3 linked regions of the Kluyveromyces lactis genome follow. The main gene of each other region encodes a partner of the protein of the gene in region 3 in a complex. Links are inferred from orthologs where the notes say so. Each region holds a gene or a part of one and is shown on either strand. Other genes may lie near its edges. The genes, in order: MRPL9, MRPL39 and MRPL38.

Region 1 (6,023 bases), on a different chromosome or scaffold from region 3:
ATGTTGAATAAATTGGCAAAGCAACTTGATGGCTCTGAATGGTCATGGCACAACATCAACACATTGTGTTGGGCTATTGGTTCTATTTCTGGTACTATGGACGAGGAAACTGAGAAAAAATTTGTCGTTACAATCATTAAAGATCTTTTAGCCTTGACTGATAAAAAGCGCGGTAAGGACAACAAGGCTGTTGTTGCATCGAACATTATGTACGTTGTCGGTCAGTACCCACGTTTCTTAAAAGCTCATTGGAAGTTCTTGAAGACAGTCATTCTAAAACTATTTGAATTTATGCATGAAACCCATGAGGGTGTTCAAGATATGGCCTGTGACACCTTCATCAAGATTGTACAGAGATGTAAACGTCACTTTGTCGTTCAACAGCCAAACGAAAGTGAACCTTTCATCCAGGCAATAATTAGAAACATTCAAGACCACACCTCCGATCTTCAACCTCAGCAAGTACACACATTTTACAAGGCTTGCGGTTTAATTATTTCTGATGAAAGAAACCCAGGAGAAAAACAAAGATTACTAGCAGATTTGATGCAACTCCCTAACATGGCATGGGACGCTATAATTCAGCAATCATCTACTCATCTGGATATTTTGTCGGACCCTGAAACTGTGAAAATCGTTACCAATATTCTAAAGACAAACGTTGCCGTTTGTTCCGCTATGGGTAATGACTTTGCTCCGCAGTTGAGTCGTAACTTCACACCAATGATGTCATTGTGCTCAGCTGTGTCTAGATGTATTTCAACACAAGTAGCCAGCGATGGGATTATTGCTACTAAGACTCCAAAGGTAAGAGGTTTAAGAACAATCAAGAAAGAAATTCTAAAATTAATGGAATTATACATTTCCAGTGCAAAGGATTTAGACTACATCGTAAATGACTTGGCATCAGCACTGTTTGACTCTGTGTTACGGGATTACTACATTACCGTACCAGATGCCCGTGACGCTGAGATTTTAAGTTGTATGACCACACTTGTCAACAAAGTTGGGCCTATGATGATCAGCGGTGTCATTTTGATTTTACAGAGTGTCTTTGAAGCTACATTAGACATGATCAATAAAGATTTCACGGAATATCCGGAACATCGTGTGGAGTTTTATAAATTATTGAGGGCCATCAACTCCAAGTGTTTCGTAGCGATATCTCAACTACCACCACCGGCTTTCAAACTTTTCGTTGATGCCATATGTTGGGCGTTCAAACACAACAACAGAGATGTTGAGGTAAATGGGTTACAAATTGCTTTAGACCTTATTCAAAACGTTGATTCCGCTAGTCCGTCTGAATTCTCTAACGATTTCTACAAGAACTATTACTTCACATTCCTTAGCGAAACCTTCTATGTCCTCACTGATTCAGATCACAAATCTGGATTCAGCAAGCAAGCTCATCTTTTAATGAATTTGATTGCCAGAGTAGAAGAAAATAGAATAGCTGTACCATTATACAAGGAAGATGAAGCTCCTGCAGTCACTTCTAATCAAGCTTACTTGGCTAACTATCTAGCAACCATGTTAAGCAATGCATTCCCTCATTTGAGTGGTGAACAGGTTATGAACTTCATTCAAGCGCTACTCAAACAATATCATGATCCAAAGCATTTCACTGGTACTATTAGAGATTTCTTGGTCCAGATCAAGGAGTTCGGTGGAGATCCAACCGATTATTTGTTCGCAGAGGACAAAGAACAAGCTCTCGCGGAACAACATAAACTTGAAAGAGAAAGAGCTTCCAAGATCGGTGGGTTATTGAAACCATCGGAATTGGATGATGATGAGTAAAGATAACACCTTACAGAAATGTACAGCATGGTCAAGAAACGAAAAAGTTTCTGCGGATCCAATGAAAGCTGAAACTAACACTTGTCAAGCAAGGCAAATATATACATAGCAGGCCGTATATCTTCCCACATAGAGAAAAAAATTGTAATCAATTCTCTCCGACATATACCCAGGATCCAGTATCAACGTATGAAAGCCATTAAATATCTGGTTGAAAAGGACACTCAACGTTGCAGCAGTTACTATTTTATAATTGGTGTATATACAGGTATAGATTGTTAATAATAACCGTAGAAAGGCATGCTTTCCAAATGATTTCGGGACGGTGTCTAAACGACTGAAAAGATTCAATTTCTTAATCACAGTTTTTTATACTGGGGTTGGCTTTTTGATAGCATCTTGGATCTTAACGAATGCACCATTTGGACCTGCGACAGAGCCCTTCACCAAGACAGTACCTGTTTCGTCGTTGACGTCCAGCACTTGCACGTTTTGAATTGTTACAGTGTCGACACCCATATGACCAGGCATCTTTTTCCCAGGCAACACACGACCAGGTGTTTGATTTTGACCGTAAGAACCACCAGATCTGTGAGATACGGAAACACCGTGGGATGCCTTCAAACCTTTGAATCCATAACGTTTCATTACACCTTGGAAACCCTTACCTTTGCTGATTGATCTTAAATCAACGTATTGGCCAGGCTTGAACCACGAAGGTTTGATTAAAGAACCCACTGGTAGTAGTCCAGATTCGTCCTTGACTCTAAACTCGGTAACTTTTTCCTTTGGATTCACAACATGTGCAGCGAAATGTCCCAACATTTGTCTGGTAACATTCTCCGGCGACTTGTTACCATAACCAATTTGGCAAGCCCAGTAATTGTTTTCAGCTGGAGTTCTGTGTAGTATAACTTCGTTATTGTCCAACTGAAGTACAGTAGCTGCTATACGTTTACCAGTCTCTTTCTCGAAATACGGCATCATCCCTACTTTTTTACTCAAAGCACCACAACGTAGAGGTAATCTTCTTCTCTTTAGCGCATTTTCTGGAGAATGTTTAATATCTACAGGATCTAGATGAATGCTGCTTGCCACGGATGGTGCGACTAACTTGGCACCGTTCGATACTCCACTTTGTGAGAAAAGTCTTGTCCAAATCTTCGACGAAGGACTGCCAATAAATGCCATTATTCCCCAATTTTCAAAGACTGGTCGATTGATAACAAATGTGTCAATCCAGATAACCTCTTGGCAATGCTGGAGAAACTGTAAAGGATTTAAAATGTAGTTTAAAGACTCTATTGAAACCTGTTTCCATCTCTGTATAATTGTTAAAGCTGTTTCGATATTGAAAATTTTTTGAATCGATAAAGTTACCTATAGATCACGTGATTAAAACGGCACGTAGTTCTCTCACTGATTTAACACAAATTAAGTGTGCCCTTGACGGTTATTGGAAGTGTATGTTTATGCTTCTGTATTTACATGTTATTTAATATTATAATAATTATAATCATCATTCTATCGTCATCATTTGATCTTCTTATCCTTGATCTTGATAGTTTCATTGTTAACGTAGATACCTTTACCCTTATATGGTTCTGGAGGATGGAATTTTCTCAAGTTGGCAGCGAAGAGTAGCACTTGTTGCTTGTTGACACCTTCCACGATCAACGACGTGGGTACCGGAGACTTAACTATGATTCCCTCTGGGATAGGTAGGCCTTGTCTTACCGACGCACCGACTTTGACGTTGACAAAGGTGTTATTTTCCTCCAATTGAGCTCTGTAACCGGTACCAACGAACTTCAGAACAGCCATATGGCTCTCATTCACGCCTGTGATATGATTATTTATATGAGATCTTACCGTCCCCCACATGGATCTTTGCGTCTTGTCGGTAGAATCCTTCACTGCAACTTCGATTTTTCCCGAAGATCCATCCTGCTTTATCTCCACGAAATCTGGGATTTCCATATCAATCTTCCCCAAAGGACCCGATACAGTTACGTTCTGAGATAACTTAAGAGATTTGTTACCCTTTCTGATGATCTTTGGCAGTTTCATTGATTCCACCACCAACTTGGTCTCCGGTGTCAAATACACCGGAGAAGAACCAATATGTGAGCGCAGAAGAGCCGACACAGAAAAGAGTCTTCTGGAAACAAATGTCATGGTAATTGTGTATATCCTGGAAATAGTCTAGCCCACTTTGCAGCCGCTATATGACTGGGTATATTAGATCAAATGCGTCTATATCAATCTGTTCTTCCAGCACTCATCTCTATGCGTCTTTCAACCAATTTTTCACTTGGAATCAAAATTTTAATAGTGAGATAGTATGGGAGGGTAACTTTAATTGCTTTGACGATTGTTAAATAAGATATACTTAGGCTGTTACTCTCGATTGGTGACCATCTAGGCCACTCCTGGGTCGAAATGGGATGTGGAGACTGCTCTTCGTCGAAACACAGGAGTAAATACCTTGTGCTTATATTATCCTGTGCATCACGTGACTTGTTGATCTTTGCCCTTTCTTTTTGAAAAATTTCAAGCTCATCGCCTACGCATCGTCATCTCATCTCAATTACTGAATGATATAGCAGGCTGAAGTGGTTTCAAGAGCGTTCAGCAAGTCATTTGGTGGTCTCATAGCCAATATAAGGATAGGATACTCCAAGCAGATACACTAGGTAATACAGTATGGTAAGAGCATTGAAACATCATGAGCAGAAGCTTCTCAAGAAGGTCGATTTCTACGAATGGAAACAGGACCAGAACCACAGAGATACGCAGGTGATGCGTACGTACCATATCCAGAACCGTGAGGATTATCATAAATATAACAGAATATGTGGTGATGTGCGTCGTTTGGCACATAAGCTATCGCTTTTACAACCTACAGATCCCTTCCGTATCAAGCACGAGCAGCTCTTGCTAGAGAAACTATATCATATGGGCATTCTTTCAACAAAATCCAAGATATCAGCACTAGAGAATAAAGTTACAGTCTCGGCTTTCTGTCGTCGTAGATTGCCTGTAATAATGCATAGATTAAAGATGGCACAGACACTCAAGGATGCCGTTCAATTCATTGAACAAGGTCATGTTAGAGTAGGACCTAACTTGATTACAGATCCAGCATATTTGGTAACAAGGAATTTGGAGGATTACGTTACATGGACAGATTCATCCAAGATCAAGAAGACTGTACTACGTTATAGAAACGCGGTCGATGATTTTGACGATGCCTAGATTGATCCTGCTATACTTGCCTTCGGAAGTAGGAAAAAGGGCAAAAACTATTATTTTACAAATTTGAAAGGAAAGTAAGTAGTAGTGGTATATATGTATCATAAGAAAAAGTATTCTAATTACAATCTTTTGCTTCGAGCTCGGTTCCAATGTATATGGATATGCCGGATAATGCATATAAACACGTAAGGATTGTATTCAACAAGACTCCAAAAGAGGTCTAAAAAAACAGAATGGTAAAACAAAGGGAAATAATGCTCCCTTTACATGACATTGTAATTGTGTGATGAGCCCAACTGCTTTCTTAGATCTTCTTGCGATCCGGAGTGCGGTAGAATAGTCCCCATGCTTGGTGGATGCATAACGTCGGTGTCGTCAAGAATACCGCTTACTCTCGATTTAATATAAGTGTCTTGTAACTGTTGTTGATAAGTGTTAGTATTTGACATCAAACTGTTGGATCTTGAATCCGCTACAGCACGAGAGAATGATCCAGCTGGCTTGAAAAGGTTATTTTGAGACAACTCGTTTGGATTTGTCATCACCACGGATTGTCTCAAATGATGAGGTAATACCTTGCTTCCTGCAGAGTTAATTTGTGATGGTGTTGTATTGCTGGAGGCTTGATCTGAGGATAATCCCAAATCTGATCCGTTTGTTTGGTGGAAATAAAGTTCTGGATGGTCGATTGGATTGTAGTTATGGTTATTTTGTGGTGTCATAGCTGCTGCTGCTGGTGACTTAAGGGTGGTTTTTGATTTAAATGACGTTAACGAATGAGAGGAACCGCTAAATGGTAAATTAGATGGTCGTGGGAGCTCTTCGATGCTTTCCATATTAGGAGGGGGGAGATTATGCTGTATTTGGTTGTGATATGTTGGGAAACTTCCATCGTACTGATTCTGTCCGTAATACTGATGATTGTAGTAGTATTGATTTTGTTGATGGTCATTATGATACTG
Region 2 (5,630 bases), on a different chromosome or scaffold from region 3:
TAAATATATCGATAGGACTTCATCTTCAATCTCGGTGGGCATTCTGGCCTCATTCCATCTGGTAATTGTGTCATAACTGACATCATTCTTTTTCCGCATAACTACATTATCTGGTCAGCAATGACTCATCGGTTAATATTGTCCTTAACGTAGCCAGAGCTGATGTTATATATTAAAGACTACATAAGGTACTAGCTGCCCGTTCGTTATGAAGTGATGCAGACTGATTCATCGGCTACTTAAGTACTTTTGAAATACTTAGGCGAGAGTTACCCTCTATTTGTGATCCTTGAAAAATTTCAATCTAAACTTCCCAATTTTCAATACAAAAATGGTAGTCCACGCTAAGTTGTAATGATGATCAGTATGCATTACAGTTCGCATTCACGATACAAAGCAACAGTCAGTAAGACGTCATGAGCGGTACTGCTGAGGAATCCGATAAAGCAGAGGCTGTTTCTGTACCTGAAACAGTTTCTGGGTCAGTTGAGAGTCAAGATAAGGAGCATAACTCTACTTCATCTTCGTCTGATTCTACAGATGTGGTTGGAGGCAAGAAAAGAACTATCGATGAAGTTGATGGGAGTTCTGAAAACAACTCTGCATCTGTCGATCAGTTAAAGGACGCTCCTACTGATTCTAAACCAAAGACAGAGGCTACTGAAGATAGTCCAATTAGGGGAAATCAAGGGAACAATCAAGAAAACAGTCAAGAAAACAAAGACGATGAAGATGATGAAGATGACAATGACGACGATGACAATGACGATGACGATGACGAAGATGAAGATGTCGAATCATATAGGAAGAAGCAACGTCGTGAAAGAAACAGATTCTTGGATATTGAAGCCGAAGTCAGTGAAGACGAAGACGACGAAGAAGATGAAGAAGATTCAGAACTAGTTCGTGAAGGTTTCATTACTCGCGGTGACGAAGAAGACGAAGAGGATCGTGGTGGTAGAGTTGATGACAGACTGCATAGAGAATTAGATCAAAATCTTCAAAAAACTGCGGATGAAGACATGCACAAGATCGCTGAAGACTTCAAGAAACGTTATGGTCGTGACTCTTCCAAAGATTACCGTGTACAAACTCAAGGTGGGTATGTACCTCAGAGGTTTATGTTACCAAGTGTTGATACTGCTATTATTTGGTCCGTTCGTTGTAGACCAGGGAAGGAGAAAGAACTAGTGAGAAAGTTGCTAAATAAGAAGTTTAACTTGGATAAATCTATGGGCTCTAAAAAATTAAAGATTCTGTCCATCTTCCAAAGAGACAATTACACAGGAAGAATCTATATCGAAGCTCCAAAACAATCTGTTATCGAAAAATTTGTCAACGGTGTTCCAGATGTCTATTCTAATCAAAAGCTTTTGATTCCCGTGCAAGAACTACCTTTACTATTAAAGCCTACCAAGTCAGATGAAGTGAGACTTGATGTTGGTTCTTATGTTAGAATTAAAAGGGGTATTTATAAGAATGATTTGGCAGTCATTGATCAAATTAGTCAGAACAACTTAGAAGCTCTATTAAAGATTGTACCCAGATTAGACTACGGTAAAAATGACGAAATCGACCCAGATACAAATCAGAGAAAGGCAAAGAGAGCAACGTTTGCTAGTAGGCCTCCTCCTCAATTATTTAACCCTACTATGGCATTAAGGTTAGACCAAGCCAACTTATTCAAAAGAGATGACAGGCACTTCACTTACAGGAAGGAAGATTATGTTGACGGTTATCTTTTCAAATCTTTTAAGATTCAGTATCTTGATACAAAGAATATCCAACCTACGGTGGAAGAATTATCAAGGTTCGGCAGTAAAGAAGGTGATGTCGATCTAGCAGCTATTGCTCAAACTATGAAAAAAGCTCAAGCTTCTAAAGCTATGTTTCAACCAGGTGACCGTGTTGAAGTGTTGACCGGGGAACAACGTGGATCTAGAGGTGTGGTGACTAGAAGTTCTAAAGACGTCATCAGCGTTAAACTATCGGGCTTTTCAGATAAATCATTAGAGTTCCCAATTGCATCTCTAAGAAAAATTTTCGAACTTGGTGACCATGTCACAGTAATAGCTGGTGAACATGAAGGTAACGCTGGTTTGGTTCTTTTGGTGCAGAACGGTCAAGTCACATTTGTTTCTGACCAAACTAGAGAAAATTTGACAATCTCTGCGAATAACTTGAGTAAATCTATGGATTCTACTCCGACATCAAGCGAGTACGCTCTACATGACATTGTTGAGTTAAGTGCCAAAAACGTGGCATGTGTGATCCAGGCTGGACATGATATTTTCAAGATTATTGACGACTCCGGTAAAGTGGCTACTGTTACTAAAGGCTCAATTCTTGCCAAGATCAATGTAGCAAGAGCGAAAGTAGCTGCTGTCGATGGTAATGGTAGAGAAATAAAAATTGGCGATGTAGTAAGAGAAAAGATCGGTTCCCGTAGAGAGGGACAAGTACTCTACGTTCAAAACCAACATATTTTCATTAGATCGAAAACAATAACGGAAAATGCCGGTGTTTTCGTTGTTAATCCAATGAATGTCGAGGCTGTCGCCTCAAAAGAAAACTTGATGTCGTCAGCATTGGATTTATCTAAAATAAATCCAAATATTGCGTCTAAGATGGGACCACCACAAACTACTCAGCAGACGCGGTTAGTTGGCCGTGACGTCGCTTTGAACAAAACTGTTAGGATACGTTCTGCGGGATACAAGGGGCAGTTGGGTATTGTCAAAGACGTCAATGGAGATAAGGCTACTATTGAATTGCACTCCAAAAATAAGCATATTACAATAGACAAAAGAAAACTTACTTACTTCAGTCATGAAGGTGGTGAAGGTATAACATACGATGAACTTGTTAGTAGACGTGGTAGAACTCCACATACCAGATTGGGCCCAAGCTATGTCAGTGCACCAAGACACATGGCTGCCGGTGGTGCGGTGGCAACGAACACTCCGCAACAACTTCCTGGTGGAATGACTCCTGGTTGGAATGCATTTGATGGCGGTAAAACTCCTGCGGTTGGCCAGAACGGAGGAACTTCATCCTGGGGTGGTGCTTCGACATGGGGCGGACAAGGCCCTGGTGGTGCTTCTGCCTGGGGTGGAGCTGCTGGAAACACTTCCACCTGGGGTGGGCAAGGTGCTACATCAACTTGGGGTGGTGCGTCCACTTGGGGTAATAAATCTAGTTATGGAGGCGCCTCTTCTTGGGCAGCAAGCGGAGAATCAGGAGCAGCTTCTGCCTGGGGCGGTGGCAATAAATCAAGCTATGGAGGTACTTCTACCTGGGGTGGTAACCAGGGAGGTGTCTCTGCCTGGGGTGGCAGTGGTAATAAATCACAACGATCTAAAAACACCGGTGGAAGTTCCACTTGGGGTAACAATCAATCGCAGCATAACTCAGGAGAGAGATCCGCATGGGGCAATGCATCCCAACACAACAATAGCGGCAATAGATCTGCTTGGGGTAATCAGGATGCTAGAGGTGGTGGAAGTACGTGGGGTGGAAATAATTAGAAATAATCATACAAGTTATTGCCTCACGATAATTTACAAACCTATCAATTGTTCATCTTATTATCTCCAAATTACTCCACGCGATGTGGATGTTGTATATATAGTCTTGCCCAAATTAGTCTCAGAAACCAATTAAATAAGTGAATTAAGTAAATGTAATTTAGTTAAAAATTTCGTTTCTTTACTACAAACCGATACTACTATAGAACTCTTAAATCACGTCTATTTCAACGGTAGTTATTGCAGTGTGAGTGTTTTCTATATACATGCAAATGGTGTGGTTAAATTGTTAAATACAATTCATTAACGTCTTGCGGTACGTAAGAAGTCCAATGGTTTCCTCTCTGCAACCTTTCTTTTCTTGGCCTCTTTGAACAAAACATGACGTTTAGCTACAGGGTCGTACCTCACCTGCGTCACTAATGGTGCAGCTCTATTTATCGTGACATGACGGCTCACACCTGTCATAGCAGTTGATATCAGTTTGATAACTGTAGTCTTTGTCTTAGCCTTGGCCATCGTTTTCCTGTTCGTTTGCAGTTTATATATGATATCCTTAGCTCTGTGAAATTCCTTGAATTTGAATTTGAGACAGAGAAGTACGCAGGATAATATTACTTTCTGCCCTTAATACTTTCCGATGATACACCGTCCTATGCAGAAATTGATGAACTCCCACTACTTTCAGTATTGATTGGGTCGGATACATTGCTAAAGAAGAAGTAATGGATAATCAAAATTTTGTCAAATCACTACATACGTTTTGATGAATATGCAATATACATAAAAATGATCCGTACTTCATATCACGTGAAACAGATACATATTCACAAGTCAAGTTAAGTATTCGCATATAGTTACTCTACGCTTTTATCAACAAGAAGGTATTAACTGAATTGATTGGTGTACACAGTACGGTATAATTAAGGTAACTAATTAGTGCTGGAGCTTACGGATCTCTGTTACACCCGTGCAACACGATATACATTACTGATGAAAATTTTGAAAATTTTCCAAAGCTCATCGCATAGAGACAGAGGCAAAATCAGCGAAAGAGAAGAGAAAAAAATGGAAATTCAAATGAGTTCTAAGTTACCTGCTAAAATAAACGTAATGGTAAGGTGACCCTAGAAGGTGCATAGGGTTTCATCCAGCTGTTTGATAGAAGAAAGGAGTATACTGCGCCAAGTGTATCCGATTTACGTGTTTCAATAAAGAACTGAAACAAAAATTTGAGACTATCATCTGTGCGAAGTTTTTTTCTTCAAAGAGAATTAATTGATATCGATCAGATTATCTACAGACCCATAACTTGAAAGGAGGATATTTGACATACCTCAAATCAGAATTGGGCTTCTTAATTGTTGATAGTATAACACGCGTCTAGAAATTAAAGGAATTTTTTCTACAATCCTATTTTTTTAAGGAGATAATACAAAGATTCACAACATGTCAGCTATTCCTGAACCAAGAATCATCGAGAATGACGATGGTTCCAAAACCGTCATCAGTTTCAAAATCCAAGATGGTAAGAAGTACAAGGTTACGCAGAAGGTTAAGGAAATTACTGTCACCGAGAAAGTTAACAAGAACATCGCCTTGAGAAGAAATTGGAAGAAATATGGTGCTGATAAGGGAGCTGCCCCAGGACCAGATATTTCAACCACTCAATTAGGTGAAGAATTAGAGTTAGACTTGTCTCCTAACTGGAAGGAAATGGAAGAAGAAAAGGCAAAGGAGAAGGCTGCTAACTCGACTCAAAAGGTAATTACTTGTAGAATTTGTGGTGGTGCGCATTTCACCATGCATTGTCCGTACAAAGACACTTTGGGAAAGAAACCTACTACATCTGCTGGTTTAGACCCGGCTATCGGTGGTGGAGATATGAGCGCTCAAGGAGGCTCTGGCTCTGGCAGATACGTGCCACCATCCCTACGTGCTGGTGCTCGTGATCCATCTTCTAATGCTTACCAAGACCAAAGAGAACGTGATGATGCAAAGACTATTAGATTGACCCAGGTTAACGAACTTGCAGATGAAGAAGTGCTTAAAAGAGAATTACTCTTCCCATTCGGTGAGATTCCTAGAGTATTCGTCGTCAAG
Region 3 (5,461 bases):
TTTTCACTACGTCCAAGGGCATTGTCTAATCCTGGTCAAAATCCCAATCATCCAGTCGAGAATAGAGAAAGGTCTAATACATCAAGTATTGATCTGCTTATGAGCCACGAGTCTGAATCTAGAGCTATTTACAAGTCGGATCAGTTTAGTGTCTATCCTGATGGCCATCATGCTCACCACTTGAAAGTGGTGCCTATAGTACATGATTTAGAGCAATCTTTGAACAAACCTAAGAGCTCGTTTTCATTTTCTGGTTTTTTTAAGACTCACCGTACCATTGCCGATGATGGAGAGAATTTGGCGACAGCATTGTCGTTATTGCCAGCAAACCGGTTTAGTTTCCACAAGAGACTCAGTCAGATAATAGACGAGGAAAACGGTAATCATAATGCGGATGAGGAACTTGAGCATAATGGAAATAATGGTGTTGATTCCGATTCAGATGCGGATTATGACAACCAGTCCTCTGGAAATTCGAACCCATCTGATGACGAATCCGAATCTGATGAAGATGGTTATAAGGGACCAAATAAATCAGCCAATGTACCAAAGATTGTTAACGAAAAATCCGTCATTGGTGCTAACGAATTGAAACTGATAAACCAATTAACCGAAAAGATCGATAACGGATTTTGTTTGAAGGGCTCTAAGTCTGATGCAGTTTCCTCCAATGAACCTTCTTCTGCTCCACGAAAGCAGCATTTATGTGAGAAATACGGGAAGTCGATCGGTATCATTGGACAAGGTGCCTATGGGGTTGTAAAACTATGCTATAAATTTATTGACCCAGATGAACCTGATCTGAAAGATAATACATATTTCCATGATAACAAGTTATTCTATGCGGTAAAAGAACTGAAGCCAAGACCTGATGAGCCTCCAAAGAAGTTTAGCACAAGACTAACCTCAGAATTTGTGATAGGATTATCGTTGAGTGGTGGTAACAAAAGCAGAAGATCTTCGGCAAGAACACATCCTAACATTTTAAACGTTATTGATTTAATGCAAACACCTAACGCATTTTATGAAGTAATGGAATTTTGCCCTTCAGGTGATCTATACAGCTTGATTACAAGAAGCTCAAAATCTGATTCAGTTTTACATCCATTAGAAGCAGATTGCTTCATGAAACAACTACTACATGGTATTCAATACATGCATGCTCACGGTGTAGCTCATTGTGATATTAAACCAGAAAACTTGCTATTTCTCCCTACAGGTGTATTAAAAATATGTGATTTTGGTACAAGTTCTGTGTTCCAAACAGCCTGGGAAAAGAAAGCACATTTCCAAACCGGACCAGCAGGATCTGAGCCTTATGTTGCGCCTGAGGAGTTTATTCCAAAACAACAATACGATCCAAGACTAGTTGATTGCTGGAGCTGTGGTATTATCTACTGTGTTATGGTTTTAGGCCATTATTTATGGAAAATTGCTATCAAAGGCAAGGATTCAGTATATGACGCATTCCTCGAGGATATGGAAAAACATGGACAATATTATGTATTTGACGAAATGAAACATGTGTCTCCAGGTATGAACCGGTACAGAACTGCTGCACTTTATCATATCTTCCAAGTTGATCCGAATAAAAGGATAACGGTGGATTCATTGCTAAAAAGTTCGTGGATGAAGAGGACAAAATGCTGCGTTACATATCCACCAAGGCCGGTGTAACACCAAAATTTGTTTCATAGCTGAAGGCCTTGCTACTTTGGCAGATTTAGATTAGTTTCTTTCGCATCATTTTTATCTATATTTAAGATAAACATACATCTCTTTGAAACACTTATAAAATATTGATATCACTGTCAATGAGCAATAAGTTGGTAGTCGCGTATCCATCATATTTATCATGGCATTTTCATAAACTTTACTAACGATATTTTCTATTTTTTATTATCTATATACATGATTCTAAAAGCCCTGCGCAGTCGTAATCGATATTTACCAGTGGTGAAACATATTTACAAAACTTTACTTGCTAGAGAGCAAATCTTGTTGTAGCCCTTTTCCCTTAGTTCTCTGCCGACAACACCATCGTTACCCATAATTCTTGACCCTAGAGGTTCACCATTATTCTTGTTGATTAATACACAAGCATTGTCACCGAACGCAATTGTTGATCCATCAGGACGTATCATATTTCTTTGCTTGGTACGTACCACCACAGCGTGTACAATATCACCTTTCTTCACTCTGTTGTTATTGGATTGCCCAGTAATAGTTTGTGTTAATGGTTTAGCCTTCTTCACCACACAGACGATTTTGTCACCTATTCTACCTGGAGATTTTGGCGAACCTTTTCCAAGTACTTTGATACATTCGGCAATTTGAGCACCTGAGTTGTCAATGACTTTCAAAAAAGACTTCAAATAAATCATGTTATAACAGTCACAGTGTGAACTTCAGTTAGGTCGTGTGCTGCAGGCTGCTACTGATCGGGAAAGCACAGCTTTTCTTCCTGGACTATCGTTAGAGAAAGGATTAAAGCTTTCTATGTCTGGTTTCATCAAATTTTTTCTTAACCCATAATTGATGTATATCACGTGATTGATTTATTATTGGCTAATCAACGCCATTATCAACGCTTACTACATACAAATAAAGTGCTTACAACGCCGTCATTGTTAAGACAGCTGGTGTTTTCATTAGTTATCGTTATATACTTCAGTAAAATTATTAAGTATTATGCTGTTGAGAATGGTAAAACATCAGAAAAAAGGTCAATGTAACAGTATGCGTTACTATTAATGCTATTGGTATGCTTGTTGAATTAAAAATTAAGGGTTATAACTGACAAGGACAGAATAGTAGAAAATATTTTGTTAGTTTAGGATTAGTTTCAATGCTTACCCAGAGCTACTTTCACCATATCAAGTTCCCATCTCCGGGTTAAGTCTTTCGTTAAGCAGCCCTTCACTGCGTTGAATAGACCTTGGAATTCCACCTGGTCATCTACACCCAAGTTCGAGTTCATATCACAGTTACAAACTTGGCGTAGTGTCGTTTTATCATATTTACCTGAAGTTATTATTGCACGAAGTCTGGGCTCGTATTCATGTTTAAAAGGTAATTTGCCGGTAAGCATGGTGAAAATTAAAACACCAATGGCCCATATATCAGCGCTTGGTCCAATGGGAGGAGGGTTGGGTTCTAGTAACTCCGGAGCAGCGTATGGTAAAGAGCCAATTCTGCTCATGTCATCGTTGATATGTTCATGCAAATCTTTGTTAGGTGTTAATGTAATGTCTGTTTTTTGGTTCAACGAGCTGGTTAGGTTAGAACGAGTGCTCTTTGGTACGGAGTGAATACCCAAAGTCGTATCATCATGAATTAATTTTTTATCGTTCACTATTTGTCTTAACCTTGATTTCAACCGTAAAGAAGAATTATTCGTTGAAGAGGAAGATCTTGGAATTGAGGGTCTTCGTTTCAAGTGAAGAGTAGACCCATCAAATAGGGATTTCAGTTGAATTGATTCATTTTCCATCTGATCTTTGAAATGGCCATAAAAGTGACTCATGCCAAAATCGCATAATACAAGCTTCCAATCTTTGTAGTTCTCAGACTTTTTTTCTAGAAGGCAATTTTCCAACTTTATATCTCCATGTGCAATGAATTTAGAATGCATATATTGTACAGCATCAATTAATTGTAACGCTAAGGCGGATGTAGCTTGACACCTTTCTCTTAAACTAATCTTTGAATTACCACATTCGCCCCAAGAAACAACTAAATCGTATAAGGTTCCATGATCGATCTTATCTGTTAAACAATATGCCACCAGATCATCGTCTAATTTCCATTTTGTTAAAGGAAGAATATTATTGTGGGAAAGTTTCGACCATATTGAGATTTCACGTAGTACTTGCCTCTTTACACTTCGATTGTCCTTGAACTTGATAATCTTCATCGCCTTGCAACAAGTATTATTCTGGTTTTGAGATTCATCTGTAGAAGGGAAACATTCCCTGATCATACCCCAAGCGCCGAACCCTATTATTTTGCCAAGTCTATGACCCAAAATGAAAGACCCTTTATCGTCCCTCTTGAAAGAACTAGAACCGGGGGTAAAAGAGTTCAAGTATTTCGATGCAACTGATCCATGTCTGGATCTCACGTTATGTGTTGAGCCACTGTGGCTTAATTTCTCACGTTTCAAAATGTTCATAATAGTCTTATAGTCATGGTTGGGACTTAAATCCTGTATGATCTTCTTACGTTGGGAAAATGGCATATTGATGAAATCCGATGGAATAGATCTCATAATTCTATCTAGGTCATGTTCTGATATTTCAATTTGGGCAGGTGGAGTTCTCAGAGACGATGCAGAAAATAACGATGATGAGCTCGGTCTTGCTATAGGAATTTGAGGCTGTTGCTCATTTTTAACATTTGGTAAAGGGATAGGAGCCACTTGGGAATGCAAATCGTCTAGTTTCAATACTGATTCCTTCTGTGGCTTACCAAGATAGTCTGGTTCCCATGTATTGAAACGTGAAAGCATATTGGTATCATCTGAGCTTTGCCACTGCGAAACGGCCTCAGCAAAATCGAAATCTGGGATGTACTCATCTTGCATATCATTGAACAAGGGCAGGCCCTGGTTATAACGTTCGTTGAAGTAAGGAGATCTCAAGGGGGATTCTCCAGACGAGAATCTACGCCTTATTACATGCTGATGTCTTGCCTGACGGTACCCTCCAACGTCTGGTTTTGGTTCAATATCAATAGGGATCGGATCTTGTGCAATCGAAACTCTATCATCGCTGTCATTGCTGTTATTTTGGAAATGCATTGGTCTATACTTCATATCATCATACATACGAACACCAGTCACATCGTGAAAATTCGCTTTCTCTGTTTCTGAGTAAACCCTAGTCAAACGACTATTACTATTATTAGTACTGTTATCGTTGTCGTTGTTACTGAGATTTGTATTGGTTAGCGTAGAATTCGTATCACCTTTACGCATCCTTCTTGGCTTAAAGGAAAGCTGCTCTTCATAATCACTGGATTCTTGATAAGATTCACTAGTTCTAGAAGAGCCGATGTTAAAATTTACCGCATGATTATAAGAGTCATTCTTATGTCGTAGTTTGAAAGAGTCTCTTTCATTATCCTCTCTTTGAGTCAAAGACTGTAATGATCCAACCGAAACCACCTCACTAGGGAAATCTCGTTCATACAACGTTGGGGTATTAGACCGTTTCATTCCTGAGCCAACATTATAGCTCGAAGACATCTCCTGGTGAAAACAAAATGAGTGCGAGTGTGGATCGAGTCACACTAGAGTATCGATTCTTTCCTTGAAGAACCAGGAAAAAAAGAATAGAAAGAAAAGAAGACGATAAGTTTCTTATCTTCAATATCTCGCTTGTCTCGTAACAATAAAATCGTTGAGTACCAGTCGATAGCGATGTTTCCTGTTTACCCTTTAAACAGTGAGAATCGACTA

What was found.
Region 1: MRPL38 (region 3) and MRPL9 share a complex: the UniProt entries of both Schizosaccharomyces pombe proteins name them as parts of the mitochondrial large ribosomal subunit. The link is inferred for Kluyveromyces lactis from reciprocal best matches to the Schizosaccharomyces pombe genes mrpl38 and mrpl9.
Region 2: MRPL38 (region 3) and MRPL39 share a complex: the UniProt entries of both Schizosaccharomyces pombe proteins name them as parts of the mitochondrial large ribosomal subunit. The link is inferred for Kluyveromyces lactis from reciprocal best matches to the Schizosaccharomyces pombe genes mrpl38 and mrpl39.

The regions. Positions count from the first base shown.
Region 1 is NC_006041.1:1,424,511-1,430,533, reverse strand, and holds MRPL9 (mitochondrial 54S ribosomal protein uL3m), read right to left. Parts: upstream 2,995-6,023; coding exon 2,173-2,994; downstream 1-2,172. Other genes in the region: exportin CRM1, read left to right, coding at 1-1,803; MRPL6 (mitochondrial 54S ribosomal protein uL6m), read right to left, coding at 3,337-3,981; snoRNA-binding rRNA-processing protein IMP3, read left to right, coding at 4,510-5,061; KLLA0_E15973g (SKG-like transmembrane protein), read right to left, coding at 5,325-6,023. UniProt on the Schizosaccharomyces pombe protein: Component of the mitochondrial ribosome (mitoribosome), a dedicated translation machinery responsible for the synthesis of mitochondrial genome-encoded proteins, including at least some of the essential transmembrane subunits of the mitochondrial respiratory chain.
Region 2 is NC_006038.1:66,139-71,768, reverse strand, and holds MRPL39 (mitochondrial 54S ribosomal protein bL33m), read right to left. Parts: upstream 4,047-5,630; coding exon 3,831-4,046; downstream 1-3,830. Other genes in the region: RAD33 (Rad33p), read right to left, coding at 1-99; transcription elongation factor SPT5, read left to right, coding at 417-3,527; TIF35 (translation initiation factor eIF3 core subunit g), read left to right, coding at 4,977-5,630. UniProt on the Schizosaccharomyces pombe protein: Component of the mitochondrial ribosome (mitoribosome), a dedicated translation machinery responsible for the synthesis of mitochondrial genome-encoded proteins, including at least some of the essential transmembrane subunits of the mitochondrial respiratory chain.
Region 3 is NC_006037.1:611,902-617,362, reverse strand, and holds MRPL38 (mitochondrial 54S ribosomal protein uL14m), read right to left. Parts: upstream 2,385-5,461; coding exon 1,968-2,384; downstream 1-1,967. Other genes in the region: putative serine/threonine protein kinase KKQ8, read left to right, coding at 1-1,677; protein kinase NNK1, read right to left, coding at 2,846-5,248. UniProt on the Schizosaccharomyces pombe protein: Component of the mitochondrial ribosome (mitoribosome), a dedicated translation machinery responsible for the synthesis of mitochondrial genome-encoded proteins, including at least some of the essential transmembrane subunits of the mitochondrial respiratory chain.